4 linked regions of the Pelodiscus sinensis genome follow. The protein of the gene in region 4 interacts with the protein of the main gene of each other region in a pairwise test. Links are inferred from orthologs where the notes say so. Each region holds a gene or a part of one and is shown on either strand. Other genes may lie near its edges. The genes, in order: RNF138, RNF167, DTX3 and UBE2K.

The links.
Region 1: the proteins of UBE2K (region 4) and RNF138 interact in binary tests that used the Homo sapiens proteins (3 or more experiments, as listed by UniProt). The link is inferred for Pelodiscus sinensis from reciprocal best matches to the Homo sapiens genes UBE2K and RNF138.
Region 2: the proteins of UBE2K (region 4) and RNF167 interact in binary tests that used the Homo sapiens proteins (3 or more experiments, as listed by UniProt). The link is inferred for Pelodiscus sinensis from reciprocal best matches to the Homo sapiens genes UBE2K and RNF167.
Region 3: the proteins of UBE2K (region 4) and DTX3 interact in binary tests that used the Homo sapiens proteins (3 or more experiments, as listed by UniProt). The link is inferred for Pelodiscus sinensis from reciprocal best matches to the Homo sapiens genes UBE2K and DTX3.

The regions. Positions count from the first base shown.
Region 1 is NC_134712.1:72,524,423-72,531,804, forward strand, and holds the start of RNF138 (E3 ubiquitin-protein ligase RNF138), read right to left. Parts: upstream 3,015-7,382; 5' UTR 2,815-3,014; exon of another isoform or gene 2,678-2,814; intron 2,288-2,677; 5' UTR 2,268-2,287; coding exon 2,161-2,267; intron 1,492-2,160; coding exon 1,326-1,491; intron 1-1,325. UniProt on the Homo sapiens protein: E3 ubiquitin-protein ligase involved in DNA damage response by promoting DNA resection and homologous recombination.
Region 2 is NC_134734.1:8,450,807-8,458,565, reverse strand, and holds the start of RNF167 (E3 ubiquitin-protein ligase RNF167), read right to left. Parts: upstream 3,004-7,759; 5' UTR 2,844-3,003; intron 1-2,843.
Region 3 is NC_134729.1:2,734,377-2,741,830, reverse strand, and holds the start of DTX3 (putative E3 ubiquitin-protein ligase DTX3), read left to right. Parts: upstream 1-4,454; 5' UTR 4,455-6,260; coding exon 6,261-6,613; intron 6,614-7,332; coding exon 7,333-7,403; intron 7,404-7,454. UniProt on the Homo sapiens protein: Regulator of Notch signaling, a signaling pathway involved in cell-cell communications that regulates a broad spectrum of cell-fate determinations.
Region 4 is NC_134715.1:92,844,510-92,852,099, forward strand, and holds the start of UBE2K (ubiquitin-conjugating enzyme E2 K), read right to left. Parts: upstream 3,010-7,590; 5' UTR 2,462-3,009; coding exon 2,290-2,461; intron 2,127-2,289; exon of another isoform or gene 2,112-2,126; coding exon of another isoform or gene 2,079-2,111; intron 1-2,078. UniProt on the Homo sapiens protein: Accepts ubiquitin from the E1 complex and catalyzes its covalent attachment to other proteins. In vitro, in the presence or in the absence of BRCA1-BARD1 E3 ubiquitin-protein ligase complex, catalyzes the synthesis of 'Lys-48'-linked polyubiquitin chains.

The sequences.
Region 1 (7,382 bases), on a different chromosome or scaffold from region 4:
CCTTCCCCTTCAGCAATAATATAATACTTCATGATGTAAGCCCTCTTGCCACTTATGCAGTAAGTTACATCTCAAACTAACATTTTTAAGGAATCCTATTGTCAAGCAGGAGCACTGGATCCCTTGAGCATGACAAAGAGCTTAATACAATGGCCCCCAACGCGATGCCCACGGGCGCCATGGTGCCCGCCGGGGCATTTATGTGCACCCACCGAATGATCTGGGCCGGCCCCGCCCCCGGCACGTGATGCGTGTGCGGTCCGGCCCCAGGCGCATGGGCAGCCCCACCTGTGGGCACATGGCACATGGGCGGTGCTGGTCCCGAGTGCGTGGCGCATGGGCAGTGCTGCCCGCAGGCGTGTAGCACATGCCCGAAAGGTTGGGGACCACTGGCTTAATAGAAGCAAGTGAGAGCAGGACAGCTAAAGGGAGATTAGAAAAATGTCCAAAGGTTCATACCACAGCTAGTATGCTCAATTACATATGCAAGTGATTTTGTTATTTCCAGCTACCAGGTTGCAACTCAGTGTAAATAGCATTTGGTTTTATAGCTTATAAACCACAATGTTTAAAAGATTCCCTTGTCTTATTTTATTTTAACAGAGATCATGAACAACAAAGCCTCATACTCAACACTATTAATGATGGATCACACACAGTCCTCGGACACAAGAGTGAGTAAGGGTAGTATGATATAAACAAAACCTATTGGATGAAATCCTGCCTCCATTTAAGCCAAGATTCCTATTAACCTCAAGAGGACCTGGATTCCACCCATAGTGTTTTGAACATTAGCAATCTCTTTACTAAAGTGAAAGCCAGAGAGATTAAATAATATGGTAGCGTTTACTGGTTGTGCTTATTGCTATTTGTATTTTTTGGTGCTCTTCTACTGTAAATTTGAGCATTTTAAAAAATATAGCACATTATTATAAGGTCTTGGATATATTTTCTAGCTGTTCTCCATTTCTCGTCCATGTTCTTTTGTCCACTTTTAGAGTTCTTTTTATTCATTTCTCTCAATTATTTGTATTTATGGAGAGGCCCATCAATTTGGCACTTTGCAAAAAAATTAAAACTTTCTTAAAATGCAACTTTATTTCAGCAGCCACTTTATTCCGATTTCAAAATTTGTTTGATAGCTAGGGACAAATTCTTAGATGCACGTGTGTGCACACCTGTCTCACTTGAGACTTGATGCTACAAGGTACTAGTCCCTGTAAATTACTGGACGTTAATGACATATAGCAGCATGAAGGATCAGGTCCCAAGTAAGGAAAGCTTATTCACTTGTAACAAATAAGTAACTTTTGTCTTTACTCCACCTGCTTTTCACAGCATCTACAACCTCCAGAAAGCTTCTTCATGTTGTTTTCAACATCCAGGGCTCTTCTGGGACATGATCTTTCTTTTTTAGTCACAGTTCCCCGGCACAGAGGACAATGCGTTCCACTTTCTCGTATTGCTGTCAGGAAACATTTCCTGCAGAACCTAATTTCAAAGTTAACACAAGCACGCATTAGTAAAATAAAAGCTAGATGGGTCAATATTTTCTGTGTTAGCTTCAAAGATGGTTAAGTAGCTATATTATTATTTCTAATAAAAATATTAGACATGCTTTGAACTAGCAGAAAGTTCCGCAGATTAGGGTAAGGGATGTAAAAGCCTGTTTGATTAACCAGTTAAATGTTAACTAAATGGTTGGCTGGAGCAGCCTCCACACCAGGGGCAGGGGCTGCTCCAGCCTGGCTGCTTCGCTTGGGGTCAGAAGCAGCAGTGGAGGAGACAGGGGGTTTATGGGCTGGGAGCCAGCATCTCCTGCTGCTGCCATTTCTGGCCCCTAGGGCTAGAGCAATCCCCCCATGCCAGGTCACAGGGCTGCTCCCAGGTAATGTATCAGAGGGGTAGCCGTGTTAGTCTGAATCTGCAAAAGCGACGAGGAGTCCTGTGGCACCTTATAGACTAACTGAAGTGTAGGAGCATAAGCTTTCGTGGGCAAGGACCCACTTCGTCAGATGCATGTAGTGGAAATTTCCAGAGGCAGGAATAAATATGCAGGCCAGGATCAGGCTGGAGATGACGAGGTGGACCCAGGTAATGGTTAACCACTACCCAATAAGCACTGCCCATTCAGGAAGGCCAGGGGCAGCAGATACCTACACGTGTTGGCAGGTAACTGTCCTCACAGGCGTTTTGAACACCTCCTGGCACACTGGACAATAAAAATCCTCTTCATTGAAGCAAACAGTGGCAGGTTCCTCGGCCATGGCAGTGAGTCTTGACCGCTCTGTGGGAATAAGGGGGAGGACGATCACTCCCTCGCTCACTTCAAGCGACATGAGGCTGAAGCGGGTTGCCCGCGTGGAGGGATGAAGAAGGGCTGGCGGGGGAGCACCCCTTTGCCCCCTGCAGCCCGCCCGCCCTCCCTGCTCCCGGCCACTGTGGGGCGAAGCGGGCGCAGGGGCAGGCGCGGCCGGGGGAGGCGCCGGTCCCTGTGGCAGCGAGGGCCCTGGCACCGCGGCAGGGAAGGAGGCTGCGGCCGGGCTGGGACTGCGGGAGGGGCTCGGGCTTTCCCTGGCACAGGCCCCACTGTCCCTGTTGCTCGTCAGACCGGGCCGCGTAGCAAGCGCCGGGCGCCCTCCCCCACCGCCGGGGCCGAGAGCGCGGCCCGCGGTACCTGGCGGGAGCCCCTGAGCGGGGCCGCCGCTGCGGTGTGGCCGGGTCCCTCAGCCGCAGCCCCCGGCGGCCTCCATGCTGCAGCCGGGGCCGCCGCCGCAGCTGTCCCGGGGCGGGCCGGGTTTCCATGGCGATTACCTCCTGCAGGGCCCGGCGGGATTGTTATGAAACAACAAGCGCGGCCCCCGCGGCGCGGCCCCCTTTCCGCCCCCGCCCGGGCCCTGCGCCGCCGCTTCGCTGCAGCCGCCCCTCCGCCGCCGCTTCCCCTTTGCGTCGGGCAAGGAGGGGCCCACGCGGCGCCGGCAGTTCCGGGGCCTTGGGCGCCCGGCCCGCTCAGTCTTCCGTGTGCCCCGCCGCTGGCCGGCCCGGCCCCTGGGAGTGGACTCGCCTTCGCCCGGGGGCCAGCCCAGCCTGGAAGCGGTGGGGCCCGCCCTCTTAATGACCGGCTGTGGCTTCTCCCGAGCCATTGTCTTGCCCGACGGAGCTTGTCCACTGCCCCTCGGAAGGAGACCTTGGCTAATGCAGAGGGGGCCGCGTTTGTACTTCTTCGATGGGGAGTTAAACCCCGATTGCAGCCTCCTATTGTAGCGGCATTGGTGCAACCCCCCCCCCAGGGGAGTATCGGTGTTGGGTGGGTAATTGACTGGCGGGACTTAACGCTTTTGGAAAGGCTCAGGGGGGCCCTCTCCAAAGATTTTGCTCCAGGAATATTTCCCCTAAGCTAACTCGAGAAAATACTAACAGAGACAATCCTGAGTATTAGGGGTTGGCGCTGGGACAGCTACACTGATGGCTAAAATGAAAGCTCATTCCCAGTAGGGATGTTAAATATCCCTGACTTGAATAGTGGAGTAGCCTCATGAAATTGTATCTGTTAGTCGACTAGGCCAGTGGCGTGCAACTTTTTTTCATTTGTGACCCCCACACTACGGGGGCCGCCAACAGCCAGATCAAAGTGCCACGCCGCACGGCCGCCAACAGCTGGGCCCAGCTCCCGGCCAGCCGCATCAAAGCACCACGCGTGGCCGGGCCCAGCCCCTGGGCAGCCAGATCAAAGGACCACAACCCCCAAGGGGGTCGCAACCCAGAGGTTGCGCACCACTGGACTAGTCTATAGTCCCCAGGGGCAGGGCCAGCAGCCACTGTATCAGAGGCAGCAGTGTGGGGTGCCAGGTGGGAGCTGGTCTGCCAGTTTAAAAACCAGCTCCCTCCACAGACCAGCGTCTGTCACCCTGTGCTGCTGCTTCTGAGAAAGAGGCAGAGATGGGGTGGTAGCAGTCCCTGACTGGGGGCAGGCGGTCTGAGCTCCTAGACCAGGCTGTCTGCTTGCCTGGCTGGCTCTTAATACATTTGAAGTGCAGAGCTGAAACAAGGATAGGTCCTGGACCCAGCATGAGCCAGGCTGCCTGCCCACCCAGCTCCTAATACAATTAAAATGCAGAGCCGCAGCAAGGGTAGGTCTCGGACCCTTCGTAAGCCAGGACTGAGCCAGGCTGCTGGCCAGCCTGCTAAAAAATTTACTGGCGGGGGAGGGAAAGAAGAAAATGCGTGTAAGCCAGGCCTGTACAACTTGGAAAGTGGCGAGGGCCATATTACTCCAAAGAAAACAGCTCTCCCAAAAAATACTGAACACGCGGGCTAAAAAACCCACATGTCTCTCCACTTGGCCCCCTGGCATTTGTCTCTCCTGCACCCTGCCCCTTGCTGCCTTCCCCTTTCTCCTGACCTGTCCCCCTTCCCACAGCACAAGCCCCTTCTCCTTCCCCTTCCCCTCCCCCTCTGGCTTCTACCTTCCAGTTTGTGGGGCTGCTGGAGCCTTTTTGAATCTGGCAGTCGCTGGCTGTGACGTCATGATGCCACGTCATGCCGGCATCCCACCCTCTGGCTCGCACCCCACCTCTTCGCTCCAGAGCTGCATGTATGCAGCCTTGCAGCGAGAATCGCCGCACTTCCCCCCTCCCCGGTGGCGCTGCGCTCCTCCGCCCGGCCAGGGGATTGGATGGGGCCACGCCGCCTGTAGTCAGCATGGGCTGCACAGTGAGCCCCTGCGGGCCACATGCAACCCTCAAGCCTGTATGTTGTGCAGGCCTGGTGTAAGTGTCAAGTGAAAGTTTTATGACACAGCGAAATCCATAAGCTTCAACAGAGAAAAGGGTTATAAAAGCAGGGTGCTTTGCTATGGAACTTTGGGTTCGTCTTGCCACCAACTCCAGAAGAGCATTGGATTGATCAACCGACAAAGGCCCTGCTCCTCCTCTGTGTTTGATCTAGCTGGCCAGTAGATTGATACAGACTCTGGACTGGTAACTAGGATAGCGTGTGGCGGGACTGTGTTTGTGTATTATGTTTGTGTGTGAATGATTGAAAAGCATATGCAAGTTGTATTCTCATTAAATGTGGCGTACTGCCTTTCCCCCATAAAAGATCTCACATACTTTGTTTAAGCATAACATAAGTCTATAGCATTAACCTAGAAGCAAAATCTTATCGGTTAATTGGTTAATCGACTATACTATTACATCCCTCATTCCCAGTATAGAAGAGCCATTGAGCTGTAATGAGAGGGAACAGGCAATATTCCATGTACAGAAATGTAGTTGTAAGAGTATCTAATACGGAATTAAAACTGCTGACCTATGCTGAGCAGATTTCTTAGGAGGAAAATGGAAGTGTCTGCAGGTGGAAAATGTTAGCATTGTTGGCCAGCATGGTTTGCAATAATATAATTTTGGCCTTGCTGGGTCACACCAATGGTCAGTCTAGCCCAGTTTCCTGTCTTCTGACAGTGGCCAATGCCAGGTGTTTCAGAGGGAACAAACTGAACAGGTGATCCCGCCCATTTTCTGCTTCCTTCTCCTGGCAGAAGTGGCCACAGAACTGCCTTTTTCAGTGTCCACCCATCATTCCCAACAGCCTTGCTTTCCAGTTACAGTGTGTTTTGGGGAAATGTGGCAAGTTGTCTTGGATGAGTGTGACAGTCCCTGTTGCCAGATGGACGTGAGTTGACTGAGGGGCTGTGTATGCACTTGACTATACTATGCAGGCAGTGATATGGGAGAATAACATGGCCAATGGCCATGATTATATTGTGACTAGCAATTGTGGGGTGTCGTTTTACATGTCTCGTGCAAATGGAGTGACCAGACTGCAAGTATGGAAAATCAGGACAGTGGGTGGGTGAATAATTGGCACCTAAATATGACAAATATTGGGACTGTCTCTATAAAATTGGGACATCTGGTCACCCTACAGGCAAACAATGAAAAGTGAGCCAACTCACAATTTTTTCCTTATTCCAAATGGCCACCATATCCTTTTACTGTCAATAGGGGGTGAAGCCAGAAAGATGGCTATTTCCTTACATGCTAACTGCTTGCAGAACTGGGTCTAGCCTTAAAGGTAGCTTCCACTTCCACTATTCCCAGTGAGATTTTAACCAGGCAAAATGGCTGCCACTCTGGTTCAAGTGGTAGACGGACACAGGGACTGCAGGGAGTGGCAGTGGCACTGTGAAAGGTGGATGGGAAGAGTGAGGAGTTGCAGGGGAATATAGATGCAGAGGATGGTGCTAGGGTGGGAGATACAGGGATTGATGGCAGCTCCCTCAGCACTGGGATAGTGGTGAGCAAGAAGGCCAGGTTATAATATTATTTCCAGTTGCCACAAACTGATTATGAATCAGGGGATGTTGGTGCCTGCAGAAGTTGTCACAACGATATGAGAAGTTCCTGTGGAGCAGTGATTTTCAGGGCTGGGCTTATGGGCAGAGCTCTGTGCAGTAGTCTTGGGGCTAGGGACACAGACCTGCCCTGCCTTTGGGGAAAGGCCTAGATCAGAGAGATGTGTCCTAGAGCAGCAGCAGGAGGGAGTATGGTGCTGCTTTGACCTTAACAGAGGAGAAGTTTCTAGGGAAGGAAAGAAGTCAGAAAATTGCTGGCACTGGATCACAGACTGAGAAGTCTTGGGGCAGGAAGGCAGAGAAGCATTGCTGTTATGTGAGGACAATAACAGAAAATAAATGGTGATTCCCCTGTATTAGAGGTGAAGAGAAGGTAAGTGGAGTCTCCCACAGAGGAAGTAGAGTTAGGTGTGTATTTTTGTATGCACTAAAGTAGACGAAGAGGGAGGAAGTTGGAATAAGCATTGGAGCAAGGGCACGGCATTTAAGGTTGATGGGATAGTGTAACCTGGCAATACAGAGGGTGGATGGGCAGCCAAGCATAGATGTAGCCTCCCAATTCAATCAATCACTGTACAAAACTATAGTATAATTGCAGTAGGAAACAAAGCAAAATATCGAGAGTCTGAGACAATGAAAGCATTGGGAGGCATGAGAGACACCTGGCCTAGGATGTAGTGGGGGAGGTGGCTTTACTCAGAATTCAGGCATAGCTGTTCAGAGCAAAGAGAATTCCAGCCGTGAACCCATTGTCCTGTCCTTGTGTCCCTTCTGCCTGGAACTAGGAAAACCACATAGTCCTCTTTTTGGGTAGTTTGTCTCTTGTCTAGCACTGAGATATAATCAGGTGTGGCTGGGTCTGGTATCCGACAGGATGGTACTATTCCGAAGGGCAGGCAGCTCCAGCCCTGTGTGTGAGATTACACCAATGGGGTGGAGGTTGTGCACTCTTTAGACTGGTATTTCCCATCTAGCGTGACCAGGGTCATGTTGGTAAGGACACGTCTGTGCTGTTTCTAGAAGTATC
Region 2 (7,759 bases), on a different chromosome or scaffold from region 4:
GAGGATCTTTTATTCCTACTTGCAAGTAGGAATAAGAGATCCTCCAGAATAGGGCTTTATTCCGGAGGATCGCGCCAGTCTAGACGCTCTTTTCCGGCTTTTCCCCAAGCCGGAAAAAAAGCGGCAGCCATGTTTATTTAAATCCCGCGGGGGATATTTAAATCCCCCGCGGATTTCCCTATTCCAAAGTTAGAAATTAGCATGCCTCTTCCGGAGAAGGGACCAGTGTAGACGTAGCCCTCAGGAGCTGGACTCTGCGGGCACTGCAATGCTTCCTCATAAACAATACTTCAGCAGGGTCACCCTGAGGCCCATGCCTAAGAGTCAAAATTGGCCCAATCTTCTGGCAGTGAGGAGGGAAGGAAGGACCCTGCATAGATGCTCAGGGTGGCGAGTGCACAGCAAGCCTTGTTGGGAGTCTCAGATCTGCCCCCCATTGCATCCCAGCCTGTTTGCACAGGGAGATGGCCCTGGGGCTCGTGGATAGAACAAAGGGCCTATTCATTACCCACGAGACTGTGTAACCATGGGCAAGGACACTGAGGTAAGTGGGGCCCAGAGCTCAGCCAGAACCAATGGGCTATCGCTCCATGGGAGATACTGGGGCCAGATCCCAGGCGGGACCAATCAGGGGCCTCAGATGCATTATACCCTCTGGGTAGCCAGCCCCTGATTTACAGACAGCACTGTGCAGCTTCACCACAGACCATACCAGGACTTCTGAGTTCTTCAGAGCCCAAGTGGATCCTGGCTACAAACTTTAACAATTCCCATCCTCTCATGTCAATTTATCATCCCTGGCTTCTCCCAGCAGCAGCAGATCCTGAGCAAGATCCAGGGTGACACTCCCACCCAGCTACCACCCTCTGGCTAAGGGGAAGAGAAGGCTGGCAGGAGGGCTGCAGGGAGGAAGTGAGGGGCAGGAACCCCGTGGTTCTTTCCCCATTTCCGAGGGCAGCTGTACCCAATGGGAGTGAGATTAGAAGGGGAAGCTGGTGGCCAAGGGCAGCTGTCTGGCAATGCCATGGCTGGGGACAGAGATGGCTGTGTATATGCTGCAGGGCCCAGGGCAGGGGCTGACATTCTAGAAGCTGATTAACTCAGGTGTAACCCATGCTGGATTTACACGTGGGGCACACAGCTGAAGGCACAAGTGGCAAACACAATTTGGCTGGGGCACCACTCCATTCTGGTTCCTTATTGATTTAACCCCACTCCCCGCCCTGAGGCAGGGAGAGAACCCAGGAATTCTGGCTTCCAGGCCCCCTACTTTAACCCACCAGTCCCCATTCCCCTCCCAGAACTGGAGCAAGAACCTAGGAGTCCTGGCTCCCAGCTCCACCTGCTGAGCTGCCAGCCCCCACTCCCCTCCCAGCATTGGGCAGAGAACCCAGGAATCCTGGCTCCTAACACCCTCCAACCACTAGCAAAAACTCCCTTTGAAAAAAGCATGATGGGCCCAGATCTCAGCTGTGAGGTGGGGTCAGCGCTTGGCCAGGCCCTCCAAGGGCCCAGATCTCAGTCAGAGGGACCTGCAAGGAGTAGGGATGTTATCATATAGTCATTTAAATGATTAACCAATATGCCTGGGCTTACTGGTTAATCCAAATGACTATATGCACACACCCCCTTGCTGCCTCTTGCTGGTGGGCAGGCAGCAATGTGGGGTGGCAGGGGGCTCCCCAAGAGTGGGGCAAGGAGTGCACTGGCTGCCAGCCCTGCCCCTGGAGAATATTTTAGTAATCGTGTAATGATAACGTTTTTGTGACGACGCGATTACTAAAATGAACATTAACATCCCTAGCAGGGAACCCTGACCTGACCAAACAAGTCTGGGTGAGGATCAGAGGCTGATGCTCTGTTTCCCAGTCTAGGCTGGGAGGTGCTTGGCTCCACCCTGGTAGAAGGTGCAGTGACATGGCTGCCGGAGGGATGCAGGGCTGGTCTCTTTATGCCATTGGCAGAGGACCACGGAGCAAAGTTCCAGGTGGCATGGCCAAGATCAGGAAAGGGCTGAGCAGGAGCAAAGAGCCAGCACCAGGCTAACAGAGTAGTGGGCAGGGCCAGGACTTCAGGGCAGGGGGAGATTTAAGCCCTGGCAGTTTGGAGCACTTAGCCCTGGCCCCACAGGGCAGTAGCCTTTGAAACAGCTCAATCCACCTCTAAGATTAGGGGTTACATTGATACTGGTGGCCCCCTGTAGTAGGGCACCACACACACATGGGGCTGTCCCTGCTTTGAAAGCTTACAATATAACCAGTGAGACAGGCAATGAGTGGGAAGGAAAACTGAGGCACGGAGATGCCAGGAACTGCCTAACAGGTCAGTGGCAGAGGAGAGAATGGAATATAGGTGTCCTGAGTCACAGACTTAGGCTGTGCCCACTAACCATTTCTGCCAGTCTTCTTTCCGTAGTCAGGGGTCATGCAAACTGCACTCCCTTTCCCCGGGGGGGGGGGGGAGGGAGAGGAGGGGTGCGAGGGGAGTCTTGGGCTGCTGCCTCAGCAGTGCCCACTTTGAAGGGGGCACAGGGCACATCTACACTGCACGGGGGGTGGCACTAGCTCACCAACCCAGCCCTGTGATGCAGCCACCTCGGGGCCAGGGCGACCGGTTACACACGGACCCCTCCCCCGGCAAGGAGATGCAGCCACGTCTGGGGCGGGGCAGCCAGTTACGCAGCGGGTCCTCGCCCGGCGCTGAGAGGCGCCCCAGCATTACTCCCTCTCCTGACTGTGCTGAGTATGGTCTCCTCTGTCTGACCCCAAACCGCAGCAGCACCCCCCTCCCCCAGAGGCCCTCTCTTGTTTAGCTGGTGCCTGTAGGGGCAGCCCCACACTGACCTGTGCTGGCTCCTGCAGCAGCAGGGTTCTCTCCCTGGAGCAGGGCGGGGTCTGGAGCAACGGCCCCCCGCTAGCTGCAACAAGGGGGGGTCTCCCCTCTAACACCTTCTGTTTACAAATCCTCTTCCCGGGAACAGGGAGCTCTCGCGAGAGGAGGCGGAGCAACCCCGCCCCACAGCAACCCGGGCGCCTGGGTTCTCTCCTGAGCTCTTTGGGGGGGGGGACTGGGAACCAGGACTCCTGGGTCTTCTCCTCGTTTCTGGGAGGGAGTGAGGCTAGTGGGCTAGAGCAGGGGGGCTGGGAACCGTTCTCTCCCAGGCTCTGGGAGGGGATCGGGGACTGGTGGGTTAGAGAGAGGGTCTGGGAGCCAGGTGGTCCTCACTTCTGATCTGCAGCCCCTTCTAGACCAGCCACCACCGCCACACGGCTCTGCATTTGTGGTCTGGGCTTCCTTTGAGCTGAGCAGTGCATCAGAGACTGGATAGGCTGAGACACACCAGTTCATGGCACGTGTGACTGTATTGGAAGCCAGCTTCACCATATCCCTGCTGATCTCCAAGCGGGACCTGATGTGTTGGTAACTGGTCATAGGAACGTCTGCAGGGATTTTCATGCAGCTGCACGGTGGTGTTACCAATTGTTGTACAGGTCATTTGCTGTCACCCAGTCTGCCCTCACCCTGGTGTTTGCAATAAGTGTGGCAAGCTCACTGACTGGGGCATGAAGAATATACATACCACAGACACCTGCAAAAAAATTGAACACAGTGGGTCAATTGTGTAGTTGTCCAGTTTTGTCGCATTGTTTCCCTGCCACTCTCAAGTTGGTTCTTGTCTGCTATGTTGATAAAGGGCTCTTTGTGGCGAGTGTGTTTGTACAGACCCTACTGTCATGGGTCCAAGGTGGAGGAGCTCCTGGCTGCTATGGTAAGACACCTAGGCTGTGTCTAGACTGGCAAGTTTTTCCGCAAAAGCAGCTGCTTGCCAGCTGTCTACACTGGCCGCTTGAATTTCCGCAAGAACACTGACAAGCTCATGTAAGAAATCAAAATACAGGACTATGTAGCACTTTAAAGACTAACAAGATGGTTTATTAGATGATGAGCTTTCGTGGGCCAGACCCACTTCCTTAGATCAAATAGTGGAAGGAAAATAGTCACAGCCAAATTTTCTTCCACTATTTGATATGAGGAAGTGGGTCTGGCCCACGAAAGCTCATCATCTAATAAACCATCTTGTTAGTCTTTAAAGTGCTACATTGTCCTGTATTTTGTTTCAGCTACACCAGACTAACACGGCTACATTTCTATCATGTAAGAAATCAGTGCTTCTTGCGGAAATACTATGCTGCTCCCATTTGGGCAAAAGTCCTTCTGCGCAAAACTTTTGCGCAAAAGGGCCAGTGTAGACAGCTCAGATTTGTTTTGCGCAAAAAAGCCCTGCTCGCAAAAATGGCGATCGGGGCTTTTTTGCGGAAAAGCGCATCTAGATTGGCACGAACGCTTTTCTGCAAAAAGTGCTTTTGCAGAAAAGCGTCTGTGCCAATCTAGACGCTCTTTTCCGCAAATGTTTTTAATGGAAAACTTTTCCGTTAAAAGCATTTGCGGAAAATCATGCCAGTCTAGACGTAGCCCTAGTCTATAATAAAAGTGACATAATTAGTCTAAAGAGGGTCAGGTCTGGAGGCGCTAAGCAAAAACCACCAGAGTGCTTTTTGGAGATGGAAGAAGGGATTAATTTCTAGGGGGTTCCCGCCTGCAGTGAGGGGAGGAGCTCTAGTCCCACCACAATGCCCTCTGTTGCTGTGCTGCTGGAGGTGGTCTCTGCTCCGTATCTGTAACCACACTGGCCCTGCTTCAGCTTACAGCCGTGCCACCCGTCTTGCTGCCAGGTGCTCTGCTGTTTCTCTAGATCCCAGCCCCTGTCTGCCCCATGGAGCAGAAAGAGAGAGGACAGTCTCTCTCAGCTCAGCCAATGGAGAAAGGAAACAGAGTCTGGGAAAACCACTAGGCAGTGCTTTTTAGGGAAGCCGGGGTTGGGGGGTTACCGGGCTGGCCTCAGAGTGTAGGAGTTCATTTTCCCCCCACCTGCCCCATGGCTTTGCCCAAGTCCAGATATGGTGTCACTTTCTGCCCCAGTCAAATTCCCCCTCCCAACTAGCTCACAGAAAGGGAGAGAAATCGGTGCAACAAAACACTCTAGGAGCTTGTATCTGGCCTAACTTTGCCAAGATTGCCACCTACAGGTGCTGGTTCCCAGTTCCTTCCCCTGCTCCAATAGACCCCACTACTCTCCCAGAGATGGGCATAAAGCCCAGGAGTCCTTAGGAGAGGGAAACTGTAGGCTGCAGCATGAGACCTGAGGCACCAGAAACACCACAAACATGGGGTTACTGGGCACCTTCCCAGACAGCTGGGTCTTTTTATTTGCATGGGCCATGGTGCCATCTAGTGCTAGATGCACTTGCAGCAATTCATGCCTCAGCACCAGGAAAGCACCTTTCCTCCCTCCGGGAGGCTCTCTTGTCTCTGTGCTGCGAAGCCACATGGAAGCAATGAGCAGGACTGTGCATCTAAGCTGAGCTTCCACTCTGGTTTGAGCCCAAGCCCCCATCCTGTCCACAGGCAAATCTGTTCGACTCAGGTTAGCAAGTGCTCCAGGTCCCAAACTCTGCAGGACCATAGTTTGAGCCCTGCTGTAATTCATGTCCAAGGCCTGTCATTTGGCAGTGATGAGAGGAGGCTGCATACCAAATTTGGTGGTCCTCGCTCTTACTGTTAAGGAGTTCTTAAACAAACAGATAGGAGTACATTTCTAAAGTATATAGTAGGAAGAAGATATATGTCTCACATCCCCAATTAGTTCAGCATCTGCTCTACTGAATGCATTCTCAACTCCAAATCAACAAACAAGCTGGGCAGGTGCTGGATCAGTAAGACAGCACACCTCATGGAGCAGTCCCACCTCTTGGAGCCCTAGGCATCCTGAGAGCACAGGGCTCTGTGCCTTGTCCCTGAAAGCTTTGCTGTTGGGGGGGGGGGGAGATCATCTTGACCCCATTCAGGACTCCCCTACAGCGAGACACTCTGCCCTAGGGAGGTGGAGGAAGCAGTACAAAACCTGGGGGCTGGACCCTGTTGGGACTCCCATTTCCCACTTTAAACAGAGCTTGCTTGCAAGCCTTTAGTGACTGCACTGAGTAGAATGGGGGAGGGGGGCTGAGACTCAGTGTAACCACCGTTTATCTTCTTTCACACTATTCACCCCCCAAACATCAATTTCTCTAATTTCAGCTGCTGTTTGCACTTGCTCTCAGATGGGGTAGCAGCATTCAAGCGACAGCAGTCAGAGGGAATGTAAGGTGCCTGGCACAATTTGTGGGGGGGCACTGAGACTGCTCCAGGAGGTGTGCTATCTTGCTGATCCAGCATCTGCCCAGCTTGCTTGCTGATTTGGAGTTGAGAATGTGCTCAGTAGTGCAGATGCTGAACCAACTTGGGATGTGGGACATATATCTTCTTCTTAGGGATGTTAAATATCGGTTAATTGAATAGTTGAGTAACCTCATGAATTCTTATTGGTTAGTCGACTAGTCTATAGTTCCTGGGGGAGCGGGGCCAGCAGCCAGTGCACCTCACTCCCAAGGATGCCACTTCCACTCCATGCTGCTGCCTCTGTAGCAGCTGGAGCTGGTCTGTGAGGGGAGCCAGTTAAAAAAACATCTCCCTTCACGGACTGGCTGCCTGTCACTCTCTGCTGTTGCCTCTGATAAAGGTCTAGGGTGGGTCTGAGCTCCTGGACTCAGTGTGAGCCAGGTCTGAGCCAGGATGCCTGCCTGCCTGGCTCATAATACACTTTAAATGCAGAGCCACAGCAGGGATAGGTCCTGTCGCAAGCCAGGACTGAGCCGGGCTGCTGGTCTGCTAAAAAATTTACTAGCGGAGGAGGTGGGGAGAAATGCATATAGTTTATAACATTAACCGATAAGCTTTTGCTTATCGGTTAATCGATTACACTCTAACATCCCTACTTCTTCTTACTATATATTTTAGAAATGTGCGTTTGTCTGTACATCTGTCTGTGAGTCTGTTCAAGAACTCTTTCTTAATGGTATGAGCTAGGACCACCACATTTGGTAGGCAGCTTCCTCTTATCAGAACTTAAAACAAGGTCAGGGTTTGATTGTGCCAGGACAATGGGATGTGTGTGACCTGTGATTGTTTCTCATCAAATGGAAAGGGGGGGGGCTGTGATAGCAGGGACAGTAATGTTCCTGAATGACCCCAGAGGGCAGAAAGCACATGGCACAGTTATCCCCCAGAATGACCCCAGGGGGACAGTAAGCACCTCAGCTCCAGGGAGCAGACACCGGCCGACCACTGCAGCCTCCTCTGCCCAGGCCTGGCCAGGGGTATTTCTGTGCAGTGCTATTTCAGAGGGGACACCAGTGGGGTATTTCCACGGAGTATTATTTCGGGGGGGGGAGTGTCACGGGGTGGGCTGTCACTGGGGGTGCTAAGTATCACGAGGGGGAACTGAGTACCAATGCCGGAGTAGTGTCTTTGACGGGGGTGGTAGGAACCAGACCCCGGATACTAGCGCAGGCGAAGGGCACCGGTCTCCAGCCCTGCTGGCCCCTCCCCCGTTGCAGGGTGCTGTGCGTCCCAACGGCCGTGCCAACCGCCCTTCCCGCCAAAATCGGCTAGCCCACCGCGCGCACCCTCGCTCAACACCCATCCCGCCTCGCCTCGCCTCGCCCCGCCCCGCCCCGCAGGAGCAGGCCAGACTGCGCGCGCACCTCGGTCGCTTCGTGCTATCCGGCGCGTCGCAGTCTCTCCGGCCCCGCCCCGCACCGGAGCGTTGGGTGCGTGCGCAGCCCTTCCTTGCTCCGCCCCAGCCCCCTAGCGCTGGGTGCGC
Region 3 (7,454 bases), on a different chromosome or scaffold from region 4:
CTGCGCTCAGCTGAGCTCGGAGCCCGGGGCCCAGGTGGGCTCGGTTGCAAACCAAGTGCCTTAACTTATTCTGCCCTGCTGCCTGCAGCGCTGGGGGGGGGGAGGGTGCTGCCGGCGGGGGGGCCTTTGAGCTCTGCCCATCTGAGGCAGAGGGGCCCCCTGGGCCCTGCAATATGCAATACGAGATTTGACCCTTCCGTGCCTTAGGGGGGGCAGAAAGGTTCCTCCCCCATGAGAGTAACCCCACCCCCTTACCCGAACCTGGGGATAGCCACGGCTCCCCTCTCCCATCCAGTCCCCCCATGTGCATCTGCCCTGCCCCCCCGCAGGGCGGTGGTTCTCTGGGCCTGTCCCACGGTGTAATGTATTCCTAGGGGAAATCTCCCGGCTGGGGGGGCGGGGGAGTTAACACTAACTTGCACTGGGCTCCCCGCCCCTCTTCTCACACTACATCCCTGGGGCCCACGGCTGGGCCAGGCTTTGGACCCCAGCTCGGCTGCTTTGGCCAGGACCTGCCCCGTGTTCCAGCAGCCCCCTCCCTCCTGCTCCGATGACACCGGCAGCCGCGAAGTGCAGCTCTGCCTCTCCGCCAGCAGGAGGCGCTCGCTCGGGCAGCGTGTGACCAGCTGGCGCAGGTCCGGGCCCGTGCTGGACAGTGGCTGTGCCTGCCCAGGCTTCCCACGGTCACGTGGAGGGGGAGGGCCTGCTGCTGGCATTTCTCCCACGCCCCGGCCTGGAACCCTTTATCCCAGGGGGGTCCCAGCAGGTGCTCTGAGATTCTTGCCCCACAGGCAGCACTGGCCAGGCCCCAGACAGCAGCTGCTCCTCTCCCCGGCGGGGGGAGGCTGGTGACTGCAGCCCCAGATGCGGATCTTCGCCATGGTGCGCCGGCAGCCTGCAGGGGCGGGGCCCGCTCCTGACACCTGCCCCCGGCCCGCGCTGCGGACACGCCTGCCTTGCACCTTCTGTTCTTGTACACGCGGGTGTGGTCCTGTCCCTGGGTCTGGCTAGAAATAAATTATTGACTGACAGTTGCCTGGCTCCCTGCTCCACCTGGCCCATGACAGGGGGAGGGGTGGAAATGGGGGGTGGGGCAGTGCCCAGCCCTTGCTGGGTGGGGTGGGGGAGGGAGACAGACTGAGGCTTGGGGGCAGCAACAGGGACAGGTGGTTCCTTCCTGACCCCTGCAGCCTGAGCATGAGCTGGGGCTACTGCCACTTGGGGGGAGGGGGAGACTCGGGCACCCCAGTGTCTACACTGGCTCCTCCAGCTGCTTCTGCTGCTAGGGGTGGGAGATAATGTGGGGGGGGGGAGCCCCCTTGCCCTGGGTTGCTGCCTTTTGAAATACCCACCTTTGGTGCCACCTCTTCCTGCACATCCACACCCCAGCATGGTGCTGTTAGGGACTGAGGTGCTGCCTCCTCTGAGCACTGGGGGCATTTCTCCCCCCACCCCCTAGCCACCTGGCCAAGCAGCTCCCAGGGCCTGGCATCCTCTGTAGCCCCTTGGAAGGGCTGGGGTAGGACAGGCCGGAACCCATGACAGCTGAGCTCTGTTCCTGCCTCCCCCCAGCCTGCTGGGTCCTGGGGCAACGCCTGTCCCTGCCTCAGTTTCCCCCTCTGCTGTGGAGCCTGCCTGTAACTTGGGTCGGGGCGTGGCTCCAGCTCCACCTGGGCAGTGCCTGCTGCTATCGGCCCCATCGCCTGTGGGGTGGGACCCCTGTATGTGCCCCACAGCCCGGGCCTGGAGGGGTCTGCGCTGGCACTGAGCCAGCGCACTGGCCTAGCCCAGCTGTGGCATCAGCCCAGCTGCAAGCAAAGCCACCGGCCCCGGCTGCTGGGCTGAGCTCTGGCAGCCGGGGCCACCGTCCCGCTGGGCTGTGCTTCCTGCCCCCCTTCTGTGCCACGGCCCAGCCCCCAGGAGTCTGGGGGCCTGTGATGGGGGTGACTTTCCCTGGTCCCCTGAGGGGCCCAAAGGGGTTGGGTCCCCCCCATGGATTGTGCAGAGACTGATGGACCGAGGGGCACAAATGCAGGGGGGGCTCCAAGCACTGGTGCCCCCCACGTGCTGGCACCCCTGCCCCCCAGGTTCTGTGGGGCTTTGGGCAGGATGGGGGGGTACCCAGTGGGGACTCCAGGGGGAGGCGTGGGCACTGGCACAAAGCCCCCCCCCGGCCGCCTCCTGCCCCTCCCCCCGCTAGACCCATCCCCCCCTCCGGTTTCCATAGCGCCGCCGCAGCCCCCTCGCTCGCAGCGCCCGCCCCGAGAAGAGGAGCCGGGAGCGGGTGGGTCCCTCGCCCGCGCCGGGCCCGCCATGGCCTCGACCATCGCTCCCGCCCCGCGGCGCCCGGGGGCTGCGCGGCCAGGTACGGGGCGGCCGGGGGGCGAGATCGGCGGGGCAGGAGGGCTCAGAAGGGGGCTGCAGGGGCGGGGGGGGCCGCAGAAATGGGGCGGGGACTCAGAGATGGGGCGCAGGGCGGGGGGGGGGCTGCGTGGCCCCGGCTCTGGCTGCACCGGGGGGCGCAGCCGGATGCACAAAAGCAGCTTCCCCGGCGCTGCGGGCCATTGTGCGGGGGCGGGCGGGGGGGGGGGGGGACGAAACAGACCTGGCCAAGGGAGGGGGCGCGCAGCATCCTGCCTGTGGCTGCAGATTGACGAGGGTCGAGCCCGGCGGTGGGGGAGGGGGCCACGGCCTCCCACCCGTGTCCGCGACCCACCCGAGTGTGAGCGGGGGGGAGGGTGAGTCCTGCCGGATGCGCAGAGCTGGGGGGAGGAAGGGCAGGTGGGGGAGGGGAGACTGGGGGTTCTGAGATGGGGGAGGAGAGAAGGGGGCGATGGGGGTCTGAGCTGAGGGGGAGGGAAGGGGGCGATGGGGGTCTGAGAGGAGGGGGGAGAGGAGGGGCGATGGGGGGGTTCTGAGCTGAGGGGGAAGAAGGGAAGGAGGTGATGAGAGCTCTGAGCTGAGGGGGGAGAGGAGGGGCGATGGGGGCTCAGTTGAGGGGGGAAGGAAGGGGGTATTGGGGCTCTGAGCTGAGGGGGGAGAGGAGGGGCGATGGGGGCTCTCAGTTGAGGGGGGAAGGAAGGGGGTATTGGGGCTCTGAGCTGAGGGGGGAGAGGAGGGGCGATGGGGGCTCAGTTGAGGGGGGAAGGAAGGGGGTATTGGGGCTCTGAGCTGAGGGGGGAGAGGAGGGGCGATGGGGGCTCTCAGTTGAGGGAGGAAGGAAGGGGGTATTGGGGCTCTGAGCTGAGGGGGGAGAGGAGGGGCGATGGGGGCTCAGTTGAGGGGGGAAGGAAGGGGGTATTGGGGCTCTGAGCTGGGGGGGAGAGGAGGGGCGATGGGGGCTCTCAGTTGAGGGAGGAAGGAAGGGGGTATTGGGGCTCTGAGCTGAGGGGGGAGAGGAGGGGCGATGGGGGCTCAGTTGAGGGGGGAAGGAAGGGGGTATTGGGGCTCTGAGCTGGGGGGGAGAGGAGGGGCGATGGGGGCTCTCAGTTGAGGGGGGAAGGAAGGGGGTATTGGGGCTCTGAGCTGGGGGGGAGAGGAGGGGTGATGGGGGCGCTCAGTTGGGGGAAGGAAGGGGGTATTGGGGCTCTGAGCTGAGGGGGGAGAGGAGGGGTGATGGGGGCTCTCAGTTGAGGGGGGAAGGAAGGGGGTATTGGGGCTCTGAGCTGGGGGGGAGAGGAGGGGTGATGGGGGCGCTCAGTTGAGGGGGGAAGGAAGGGGGTATTGGGGCTCTGAGCTGGGGGGGAGAGGAGGGGCGATGGGGGCTCTCAGTTGAGGGGGGAAGGAAGGGGGTATTGGGGCTCTGAGCTGAGGGGGGAGAGGAGGGGTGATGGGGGCTCTCAGTTGAGGGGGGAAGGAAGGGGGTATTGGGGCTCTGAGCTGGGGGGGAGAGGAGGGATGATGGGGGCTCTCAGTTGAGGGGGGAAGGAAGGGGGTATTGGGGCTCTGAGCTGGGGGGGAGAGGAGGGGTGATGGGGGCGCTCAGTTGGGGGAAGGAAGGGGGTATTGGGGCTCTGAGCTGAGGGGGGAGAGGAGGGGTGATGGGGGCTCTCAGTTGAGGGGGGAAGGAAGGGGGTATTGGGGCTCTGAGCTGAGGGGGGAGGGGGTTCTGAAGGGTCCCTGTGCTCTGTCAGGTTTTGGCCTGTGTGGGAGACTCAGAACAGCTCATACCCCCCCCCCCCCCACACCCCATCCCACCCGCTCCTTTGTGCTGTGCCCGAGATGCCCTGGCTGGGCTGTTTTCCCCTCCACCCCTTTCCCCCATGGGCCTGGCACCCAGCTAGGCCCAACCCCGCCATGCCAGGCCTGGTGCCCTGATGGGGCCCAATCCCTGTTCCTGCATCTCCCTTGCTGGCCTGATGCCCTGACTGGTCCGACCCCTCTGTGAACTAGGAGGAAGCCCATTGCGGGGGGGGGGGGGGGGGGAGGCGTTGGGCTGCAGCAGGGTCTCATCCCTCCCTCCCCCCACCCTCACCAGCAACAGTGATGGGGCCTGGGGCCTGCCTTGAAGGGAGACCGTAACTGGGGTGCTGGGGGCCAGCCCTGACGCACCTTTCTGGAGAGGGATGCTGGGGGGAGAGGGGGATTGGCTACAGGCCAGACTTGGGTCGGACCCCTGGGGGCAGGACAGAGGTACCAGCTGTCTATGTGGCCAGGCTGGCTGGACCCCCAATCTCCCCCAGGCTGGCAGGGCCCAGCTGGGATCGGGAGCTCCGGCCCGAGGCTGGGAACGCCAAGGTCTTTGCCAGCAAACCTCACACCACCCATGGGGAGGGGCACCCTGCCTCTTGCCCCCCACACGCACACTGCAGAGGGGCCTCAAGGGCTGAGCCCCTGAACCTGGCACCTCTCACCCCAACGCAGGCAGCTGGCCAAGCTGGTTTGCTACCCGGGAGCCCCACACAAGAGCGACGGGTGGGAGGTGAGGGTCCCTTCCTGCAGCAGCCTGGCTGGTTACTGGATGGCTTGTTATTGTAGGGTCTCCTGGGGGCAGTGCCCTGTGTTTATTGCAATGCAGCACTGGGGCGGGGCGGGGCGGGGGGGACGACACCCTGTTGCCTTTGAACGCAGCGAATGGGATGGTGCACACTGGCTGTGCTGTGACTGCCAATGGCATCTGGGGGGCGCCCCCCATCTTCCCCACTGGCACCCTGGCTAGGGAGCAGCACTGAGGCCGGGCCCGTGGGATGGGTCTGGAGTGGAGGCAGATACCAGCTCCCGCACCCACCTTGCTCCCTGCCACACACCACCTCCACGTGACACCTCCCTGACCCCGAGCCCCCCACTCCAGGTCCTCTGCAGTGTCTGGGTGGGCTTGGAGGGCCCCCCAGCCCAGCACAGACCTTGCTGGTGGAGGCAGGACCCCAGGACACAGGGATCTGGCTGCAGGCTGCACCCAGGGGCCCCTCAGAGCCAAGAGTTACCAGGCACCAAGCCACCCAGCTGGGGGGGCCTGGGGTTCAGCCTGAGGGGGCATCGCCTGCTGTCGAGTTAGGAGCCCTGGGGCGGACATGGCATTGTCGTGCGGGGTGGGGGTGGGGCAGCACTGAGCTTGGAGGTCTCTGCCCCGATGCAAAGCCAGGCTCTGGCTGCAGGCTCCGGGACTGAGCAGTGACAGACCCCTCCAACCCCCGCTGGGACACGACCTCGCAGGGCAGCACCCACAACTCATGGGGCTCCTGGGTGCTAGAGACGCCAGGGCTCGGTCGGGGCCTACTGGAACCAGCTAGAGCCAGCCGGTCTGTTTGGAGGCAGCCCCCGGTGGGACTCAGCACTTCCTCCTCCAGATGCTGGTCTCTTCCAGCAGACTGGGAGCAAAACCACCATCCCCTGCACCCTCTGCACCAATTGAACATGCCCCCAGGGCCCAGCGAGCCAGAGCCCTCTCGGTTCTGTATGCCAGCTGCCTCCCCAAGTGCCCCCTCGCATCCTCCAGGGATGACCCTTGCCTGGCAGAGCAGCTTTTAGAGGATTCTTAGCTCACAGATCTGCGGAACTCACCGCCACAGGATATTACTGAGGCCGAGAACAGGTATGGAGACGAGAAACTGGCTGGGTGGGCCCGTGCCCAGTGAGGGTGTGCACAGCTTCACAGGCAGCTCAACACAACATGGGCATGAACTGCCCCATCCCGGGGCACCGACCGAACCCTGAGTCCTCTGGGGTGAGGAGAAATCTTCCTCCATCAGCACCCCCCAGGGAGGAACTGGGCTGGATCCCTCGGGTGGTGGTGGGAAGTCTGTGCCCTTCAAAGGAAACCAATGGGGGGGTTGTTCACACCCCTCCCGTCCGCAGCCTCCCTGTGGAGCTGGAAGTCCTGGGTTTTCCAGGGTGTGTTGCCCGCAGGCCGAGGGCCTCTGGCTGCCCAGCAGCTGCCAAAGGGTGGGTTTCAGTCCGTGGCTGCCAGGCCCGGGGAGCGACTATGGGGCGTACAGGGGGGTCAAAAGGAAAATTGGGATTTGTCTGAATCGGAGCCAAACCCAACGCTGACATTTCCCCGACCCAGAAACACTGAGGTCCGGCCAGCCCCGCCCCCCGCCTACAGCGCCTTCCGCCGTGGGTGCTGGGCTCTGACCTTAGCGAGGGATCCGGCCGACTGGGAGCAGCCCCTTGGGTAAGATGGGCGCAAGGTGCCCCCCAGGCTGGGCCTGAGACCCCTCGGGGCCCTTCTGCCCCCCCCCCCTACACGCTGCCCGAGCAGAGGGGCGGGTGGGAGGCAGACCCGGCTGGCTGCCACGTCCCGCAAGCCCCCACCCCACGGGCACGGCCACCCCCCTCGCCCTCCACACAAAGGGGCTGTGTTTGCAGCACATGGTGCTGGGGGGCATGGACTCTGAGTGGGGGGGGGGCAGACACAGACTGGACCTGCCCTGCACCCACCTGGCCAGCTACTGGCAGACCCCCGGGAAGGGGCCTGGACAAGGGGAGCCTTGAACCGCTGGGGGGGGGTCACAGAAGGAGGGGGGCAATACTTCCGGAGGGGGGGGCTTGCTGAGCTGGGGGGGGCGGGTAAGCGCTGAAGGTTGGAAGGTGGGGGGAGGGGACTGAGCTGGGAGGAAAGTGGGGGCACTGAGCTAGCGGGGGGGGGGGCATGGGGAGAGTCCTGAAGCTTGGGGGGCCGCTGAGCGAGGGGGAGCCCTGAACTTTGGGGGGGGGGGGGTTGGGCTAGCGAGGGCGCGCTGACGCCAGCCGGGCCGATCAGCTGTCGCCGCGCACGGGGAGGGGGCACCCCGGAGCCGCGACTCCGGCAGGCGGGGGGGGGGGGGGGAGGATCGGCGGGGGCGGGGCAGCCGCTGCAGCGCTTAACCCCCCCCCCCCCCCCGGTCTTTGTAGTTCCTGGTTCGCGGCTCCGCTGAACTCCGCGCTCCGGGTGTTTCCTGCCGGCAGGTCCATGGGCTCGCCAGGTAAGTGCGGCCCGGCCCCCCCGCTGCACGGCCCCCCCGGAACCCCCCCCC
Region 4 (7,590 bases):
AATCTCTGAATTGCAGAAGTTGTTGATCTGCCCCTCTTCCATCCTCTTCTAAAACTGCATTTGGCTGGTTCCCACTTAGCTAAGTCCAGAATGCACTTTTGGAAGAATGTAAATGGCAAACTCTGTACGTTCTCTCTCCAAAATGCAATATGGTAGCAAATGCCATTTGGTGGCATTTGCAGGGAAACAGATTGCCAGCTTTTATGTTCAGCTATGGCTTGAGACATCACTCCAAGAATGTTTAAGAGTAGATAAGATCAGCAACTTTTCCTTGATGCAAGACAAATTTTAAATTAAAACACATTTTAGCTATATAATTTGTGACAATCAATTTTTCTTGATAAAGTTGTGAATTCAGATTGCCAAAGTACAAAAATATCTAGTCATACCTCTGTACATCTCATACTGAATGTTTTCACACTACCGCTGGAAAAAAGTTTAATCGGACTTTGAAAAAAATCAAGTCAAGGTATTCCCAATACATGTATCTAGAATCAGTGTGTCATTGTAATAAACATCCACAATTACATCAAAGAAGTATGTATTCCGAATACCCATGAAAGCCTGTAATATAAACAGTAATTATATATGTACTGATAGAAATAGCTGAATCCTGGGAGGGGATGGGGGGATAATGCTCTTTAATATTTAATTTACAAGATGCAGGAATCCTGCCAAGAGTAAGGGTTGTCTCAAAATTCACAAATTCAGTTCACCCAAACAAAGTAATTTCTTTTTTATCTTCAATGTAATCAAAATCTCCGGCACATATATTAAACAGGAATTTAAAACAAAATTGCTCCCTGAGTCCCAAACTTGTCTTAAGAAAATTAAAAGATCTAACCATGTTTATATCACTGATGCATATGGCAAGGTTTCTCTTTCTAAATAACACAAGGGGGAAATTTGGAGTGCTCTCTTATATAAAGGTCTAAGCAGTCAACTTTAAGATGTATTGTTCAGAGAAAGTAAACACTTTGGGATATTCTAATTTTAGCATATAAATACACAGCTGACCATTCAGGATCTGTTCTAATTTAGTATTTGGGTTCTGTAATCATTACACACTGGAACTCACATTGAAATCAACTTGAGCATCACATGCATAATAGCTGTAGAAATTAAGCTCTAAGATTTTGTGGAGAATAGTTTATTTTGAGCTGTGTAACAATAATGCCGTTAGCACATTATATTCAGAAGGACATCAACTAGACCAATTCTAAACATGTTTTCTGTAAGCAACACAAATCCTCAGGAAGTTAGTAGCATCTTGGTTTTCTGACTATGAATCTAGCTGACTGGTACAGTGTCTAAAATCATCGGTTTTCAGAGTCAAACTGCACATTAATATTTCACAAGCATACAACATGCCTCATCATCCTCATGAGTATGATGGTGATGACACAAACATCAAAACCTATCTCGCTGACATTTACCAACACAGATTTACAGACAGCGAAAATAACTCTGACACAATCACTGTAAATGCTATTCTATAGTCCCTGGAAATACACTTAAAGTTCTTTATCACTTCCTCCTTTCCTTAATTACTGTACATCCCTTACAGGGAATGTATCAAGAATGATTAATAGGGCACCGGGATGTCAGGTGGAGAGAGGGTTAAAGATATGCACACCAAGGTGACATAACCTATGTTGGGGGTAAAAGGAAGCCTTGGATTAAGGAAATCTAGTTAAATGGGCTTTTATTTAAAAAAAAACCACACACACAATGTATCACTCTGCAGTATAAGCCACAGGCTAACGAGGGAGCTGGATGAAATGGGACGTGTGTTCTTACCCATCCTGTCTTTGCCCCATCTCCATTTAGGTCGCATGGGAAAGCCTCTCCCCAGTGCCCCAGCCGTAAAATAGAGGAATCTCCCGCTGTATCCGTGGGCAGGGGACCCCGGAGACGACACCTCCCCACACACGCGCGCGGCCCGCCCCGTTATTAGGCTCCCCTGAGCCTTCTTTTTGGGCCGACCAAACCAGACTGGGTGGTGGAGGCGGCGCTTTTCCCGGGGGTTTCCCGGCCTTGTCCAGGCATCTCGCTCGCTGCCCGGCCACACTTCCTACCCCTTGCAGGCCTGCCCCCGCGCCGAGAATCATCCGCTGCCGGAGCGGGCCCAGGCTCCCCGTCCCCGCTGCTGGGTCCCTCATCCTCAGGAGCCGCCGTTACCCTCCCCCTCAGCCGAGAGGCTGGGACAGACCCTCCCCCAGCCGCGGGAGGAGAAGGAGGGACTGTCGGGCGCCCCGCACACCGCCAGGGCCGGGGGGAGTCTCTGACCTCCTCGCTCTTCAGCACCTCCTTGAACTCCCGCTTGATCCTCTGCACCGCGATGTTGGCCATCTCTGCAGCCGGCAGCCACACGCCGCTGCCTCCGAGCCGGGCCCAGCGAGCTCCGCCGCTCCCGCTGGATAATTCCCGGCCCCACCAAAATGGCGCCCGCGTCGAGCATGCGCGGTGCGGCCCCCGGCGCCTCTCAGGCGGGGCCAGCACGGTGTGTGTGTGGGCAGCCGATGCAGGGAGCAGAGCGGCCCCTGAGCTGGCGGGTCCGCGCTGGGGGGAAGGGGCTGCGCGGGACTGTCCCACTGGCTCGGCGGGACGGGTAACGCCCTGCTGCGCCGCCGCTCCGTAAGCGACACCCGCCACCCGGCCTGTCACGGGAGGAGCCGCTTTCCTGCACACGCACAGCGCGAGGTCCCTGCGGTGACACCCCTCACCCGCCAGCCGGGCAGAGCTAGGGCCGCTGGGTTGTGATGAAGCAGCTGTGTCATCCGCACGGTCGGCGTGTTGTTACACGCACGTGTCGCTCAGCGCTCGCCTCAGCAAGCGACGGGTTAACAAGCGCCGGGTGAAACGCGCCTCCCTCAGAGCCCGGCGGAGCGGGGCCGGGCGGGCTCTGGGCTCTCCCCTGGCGGCTGGAGTTGGGGCGGCAGAACTCGAGAGGCTGCAGCAGCGAGGAAAGCGGAAGGGCCATTCAGCGCCTCAGCCTCCGAACAGCGCGCGCGAGCGCCAGGGAGCCGGGCTGCTAACGGGCTCCTTCCAACCAGAGCTCGCGGACATGCCTGACCCCTGGTGGCCGCTCGCTGGAAGGAGTAGGACTGATGTGTGGGCCTTTCCAGGGAGCGGGGGAAGCCTGTAGTTCAGTAGTCTCCAGCCTTTTTACACACCAAGCCAAGAGCTACCGCCCCGCCCCTTCCTTAAAGCCCCGCCCTCTCTATTCTCCTCCTCTCCATCCCTTGCTATCCCCAATCTTTATACTGCTAGTTTGTTTGTTTTGTTTTAATTCTTCTGTAGGAAGAGGGTTTTCCAACATTTGCCCTGTCTAGACTGGACCAAATGTCAGAAAAACCCTTTCTTTTGAAAGGCCCTTTATTCCTCATGGAAAGAGGAATATAGGGGTGACCAAAAGATCATGTGTGCTCTTCCACTAAAAAAGCAGAAGAAATTAGTCGAAACAATAGTAAAGAATAAATTTGTGAAGCATGTAGAAGAACATAATTTGTTGGACAAAAGTCAACATATTTTCTGTAAAGGGAAATCCTGTTTTACTAATCTATTAGAGTTCTTTGAAGGGGTTAACAAACATGCGGACAAGGGGGATCCAGTAGATATATACTTAGATTTTCAGAAAGCCTTTGACAAGGTCCCTCACCAAAGGCTCTTGTGTAAATTACATGGCCATGGGATAAGAGGGAAGGTCCTTTCTTGGATTGAGAACTGGTTAAAAGACAGGAAACAAAGGGTAGGAATAAATGATAAATTTTCAGGATGGAGAGGGGTAACTAGTGGTGTCCCCAACGATCAGTCCTGGGACCAATCCTTTTCAACTAATTCATAAATGATCTGGAGAAAGGGGTAAAAGCAGTGAGGTGGTAAAGTTTACAGATCATACCAAACTGTTTAGGATAGTCAAGACAGAAGCAGACTGTGAGGGACTCCAAGAAGATCTCACCAAACTGAGTGATTGGGCAACAAAACGGCAAATGAAATTTAATGTGGATAAGTGTAAAGTAATGCACATCGGGAAAAATAACCCCAACTATATGTACAGTATGATGGGGGCTAATTTGGCTACGACAAATCAGGAAAGAGATATTGGAGTTATCGTGGACAGTTCTCTGAAAATTTCTACACAGTGTGCAGCGGCAGTCAGAAAGGCAAATAGGATTCTAGGAATTATTAGGAAAGGGTTAGAAAATAAGACCCAGAATATCTTACTGCCCCTGTATAAAACTATGGTACGCCCACATCTTGAATACTGTGTACAGATGTGATCTCCTCACCTCAAAAAAGATATTTTGGCCTTGGAAAGGGTTCAGAAAAGGGCAACTAAAATGATTAGGGGTTTGGAACGGGTCCCATATGAGGAGAGGTTAAAGAGACTGGGACTTTTCAGTTTAGAAAAGAGGAGACCGAGGGGGGATATGATAGAGGTATATAAAATCATGAGTGGTGTGGAGAGGGCCGATAAAGAAAAGTTATTTATTAGTTCCCTAAATAGAAGAACTAGAGGACACCAAATGAAATTAATGGGGAGCAGGTTTAAAATAATAAAAGAAAGTTCTTCTTCACACAGTGTGTAGTCAACCTGTGGAACTCCTTGCCAGAGGAGGCTGTGAAGGCTAGGACTATAATAGAGTTTAAAGAGAAGTTAGATAATTCATGGAGGTTAGGTCCATAAAAGGCTATTAGCCAGGGGATAAAATGGTGTCCTTGGCCTCTGTTTGTAAGAGGCTGGAGAGGGATGGCAGGAGACAAATTGCTTGATTTGTCTTCGGTCCACTCTCTCTGGGACACCTGGTGCTGGCCACAGTCGGCAGATAGGATACTGGGCTAGATGGACCTTTGGTCTGACCCAGTACGGCTGTTCTTACGTTCTTAACAAACGCATCCCTGGATGCAGAAGAGTGTTTCTGGGATATCTCCAGAATCCTGAAAAACTCCTGCAGTCCAGCTGTACCCCCACCGGGTTGAGACAGGATGTATAGGCTTTGGGGTGGAAATGAGGGATTTGGGTGCGGGAAGGGGTGAGAGGTGCAAGCTCTGGGAGGAAATCTGGATGCAGGAGGAGGTGGAGAAGGGGACACTGGCTTGGGGTGGGGGGTCTAGGCTGGGCAGAGTTGGGGTACTAAGCAAGCCACTGGCTTGTGGATGTGAGGGTGCAGGAATTTGGGTTGGGGTATGTGAGGGGCTCAGGGCAGAGGGTTTCTGCAGCAGGGAGCAGAGTGCCAGCGGGGGAAGGTTTCTGCAATGGGGGACAGGTTTCTGCAGTAGGGGGCAAGGTGCCAGTGGGGACTGATTTCTGCAGGGGGGCAGGTTTCTGCAGAGGCAGGACAGGTTTCTGCAGCAGGGGGGCAGGAGGGACAGAGTTCTGTGGCTGGAGGCAGGGGAGAAGGAACGGGGGCGGTAGGGCAGGGACAAGGTTCTGTGGCAGGAGACAAGGTTCGGGGGCAGGGGAGAGGGAACTGGGTTCAGGGGCAGGGTGCCAGTGGGGACAGGGAGTCCCCTACACCAGCCTCAGAGGGAAGCCTCCGTTGCGTGCTCCCTCTAGGGCCGACACTCTCCCCCCCCCCCCCCGGCGGAGGAAGGATGCCCCATCGAGTGCCTCCGCCGGACACCCCCCCCCCCGCAGAGCAGGGAAACCCACGTATGCGACCCCTCAGGGCCGACACACACACCCCCACACACACGGAGAAGGGAAGCCTCCGTTACGCGCCTCCTCCGGGCCTGACTCCCCCTCCCGCAGAGAAGGGAAGTCCCAGCACACACCTCTGGGGACTTACCCAGTAAGTTTCTGGAGCACCAGGGAGCTGGGGCAAGGAAGCAGCTAGCGCATTTCTGGAACGCTCGGAAGTGATGCGCAGCTTTAGGACTTCTGTCCTCCCCGTGGGAAGCTGCCACTACCTCCATTGTTGCTCGAGGTAGGTAGTGGGGCTTCTTGGGGGTGGGGGAAAATGGAGGGTCCAGAACACCTTGCGATCGACTGGTCGTGATCAACTGGTTGGTGACCACAGCTGTAGTTCCCTTTGCAAAAACAACCATGTCCTGAAAACGTGCCTGTTTTGCCTAAATAACCCTAAGAAAGAGGGACTTTGGGAGCTCTTAGCCCATATTTTTGAAGGGAGCTGGTATCCCCAAAGAAACCTTTATTTTGTTTACTCGTTCTACGACAAGACTCTGGAAAGATCAAGTGAAGGCTCAACATACCTGCCCAGTGGACAATAGTACTTTGGAACTAGACCTCAGAAAAGGTGAACTATGGTGTAGCCAGATAATGTGCCAGCAAAGGGGCTGGAGCAAGAGCTGAGGCAGTGGCCATATTGATGAAAGAAAAGTAGGCCACACCGTTGTGATAATATCAACATAAATTGATACATTTGGAGGATAACCCAGCTAAGGTGTAATCACACTCTTAGAAGTGTTGTTCACATGGGCATTAAAGTCTCCCAAGAAATGAATAAATTCACAGCTCTTCTGGTAGTATAAGAAGCCAAGGACAGATATGTCAATTCCTGGATGATGCACAATGTGAATGTTGTATCCTGACAATTAGAGAATAATTACCTATAGTCTCAATGGTGCCACAGAGAATGGTTTCTTTAGAACTGACTCAGACAGTTTATGATAAGGATGTTAATTATCAGGCATTTTGCATTGACTATTTGATTAGTTGATATAGGATGCCTCCGTCTTTGAAGTGTAGCAACAGCCATAGGGCTGTTGCTACACTTCAAAGGTGAAAGCATTGCGTGGAGCCTACGGTCAGAAGGGGGGGACTCCCCCACTGACCCCAGCCTCCATGCAGCGCTGCTGCTTTGAAACACCATGTGGCATTTCAAAGTGGCAGTGCCACACAGAGCCCAAGGTCAGCAGGGGAGTCCACAGTTGATCCTGGGCTCAATGTGGTGCTGCCGCTTTGAAATGAAATGCTGCAAGGAGCCTGACATCAGGCTCCCCGCGGCATTTCAATGCGGCAGTGTCGCACTGAGCCCGGAGTCAGCTGGGAACTCCCCAGCTGATCCCAGGCTCCACACAGCACTGCCACTTTGAAATGCTACGTACGGCCTGGGGACACCTGGGGCAGCGCCACATGGAGCCCGGGGTCTGGCTCCAAGCTTCAAGCAGCACTGCCGCTTTGAAGTACCCCATCTTCTTCCCCTCCTTGCTGCCTCTATCTGGAAGCCCTGGGTCGGCACAGCAGCGGGGCAGTTGTAGAACCCCAGCCGGGCATTGCAGCAGCAGGGCAGTCATGGAGCCCCATCCCTGGGAAGCCTCAGCTAGGCAGGACAGAAGCAGGACCATGGCAGCTAGGGAGCTCCATCCCCAGAGCACTCTAACCAGCTGGCAGAAGTGGGCCAGTGCCAAGCCCAAGCAGCAGGCTGGAGCAGAGCCAGCCAAAGGGAGGTGCAGTGTCCTGGGAGGCTGGTGGCAGAGGACCAACCCTGATTGGCTAATTCCCTCATTCCCTCACATCACACCCCAAAAAATATGGCTGGCAAAAATTTGTAGCTTAGACCTGCTCTACATCTTTGTTACAGAGAAAACTTAAAAAATAATAAATAGTCTTGCAGTCCTCCCCAT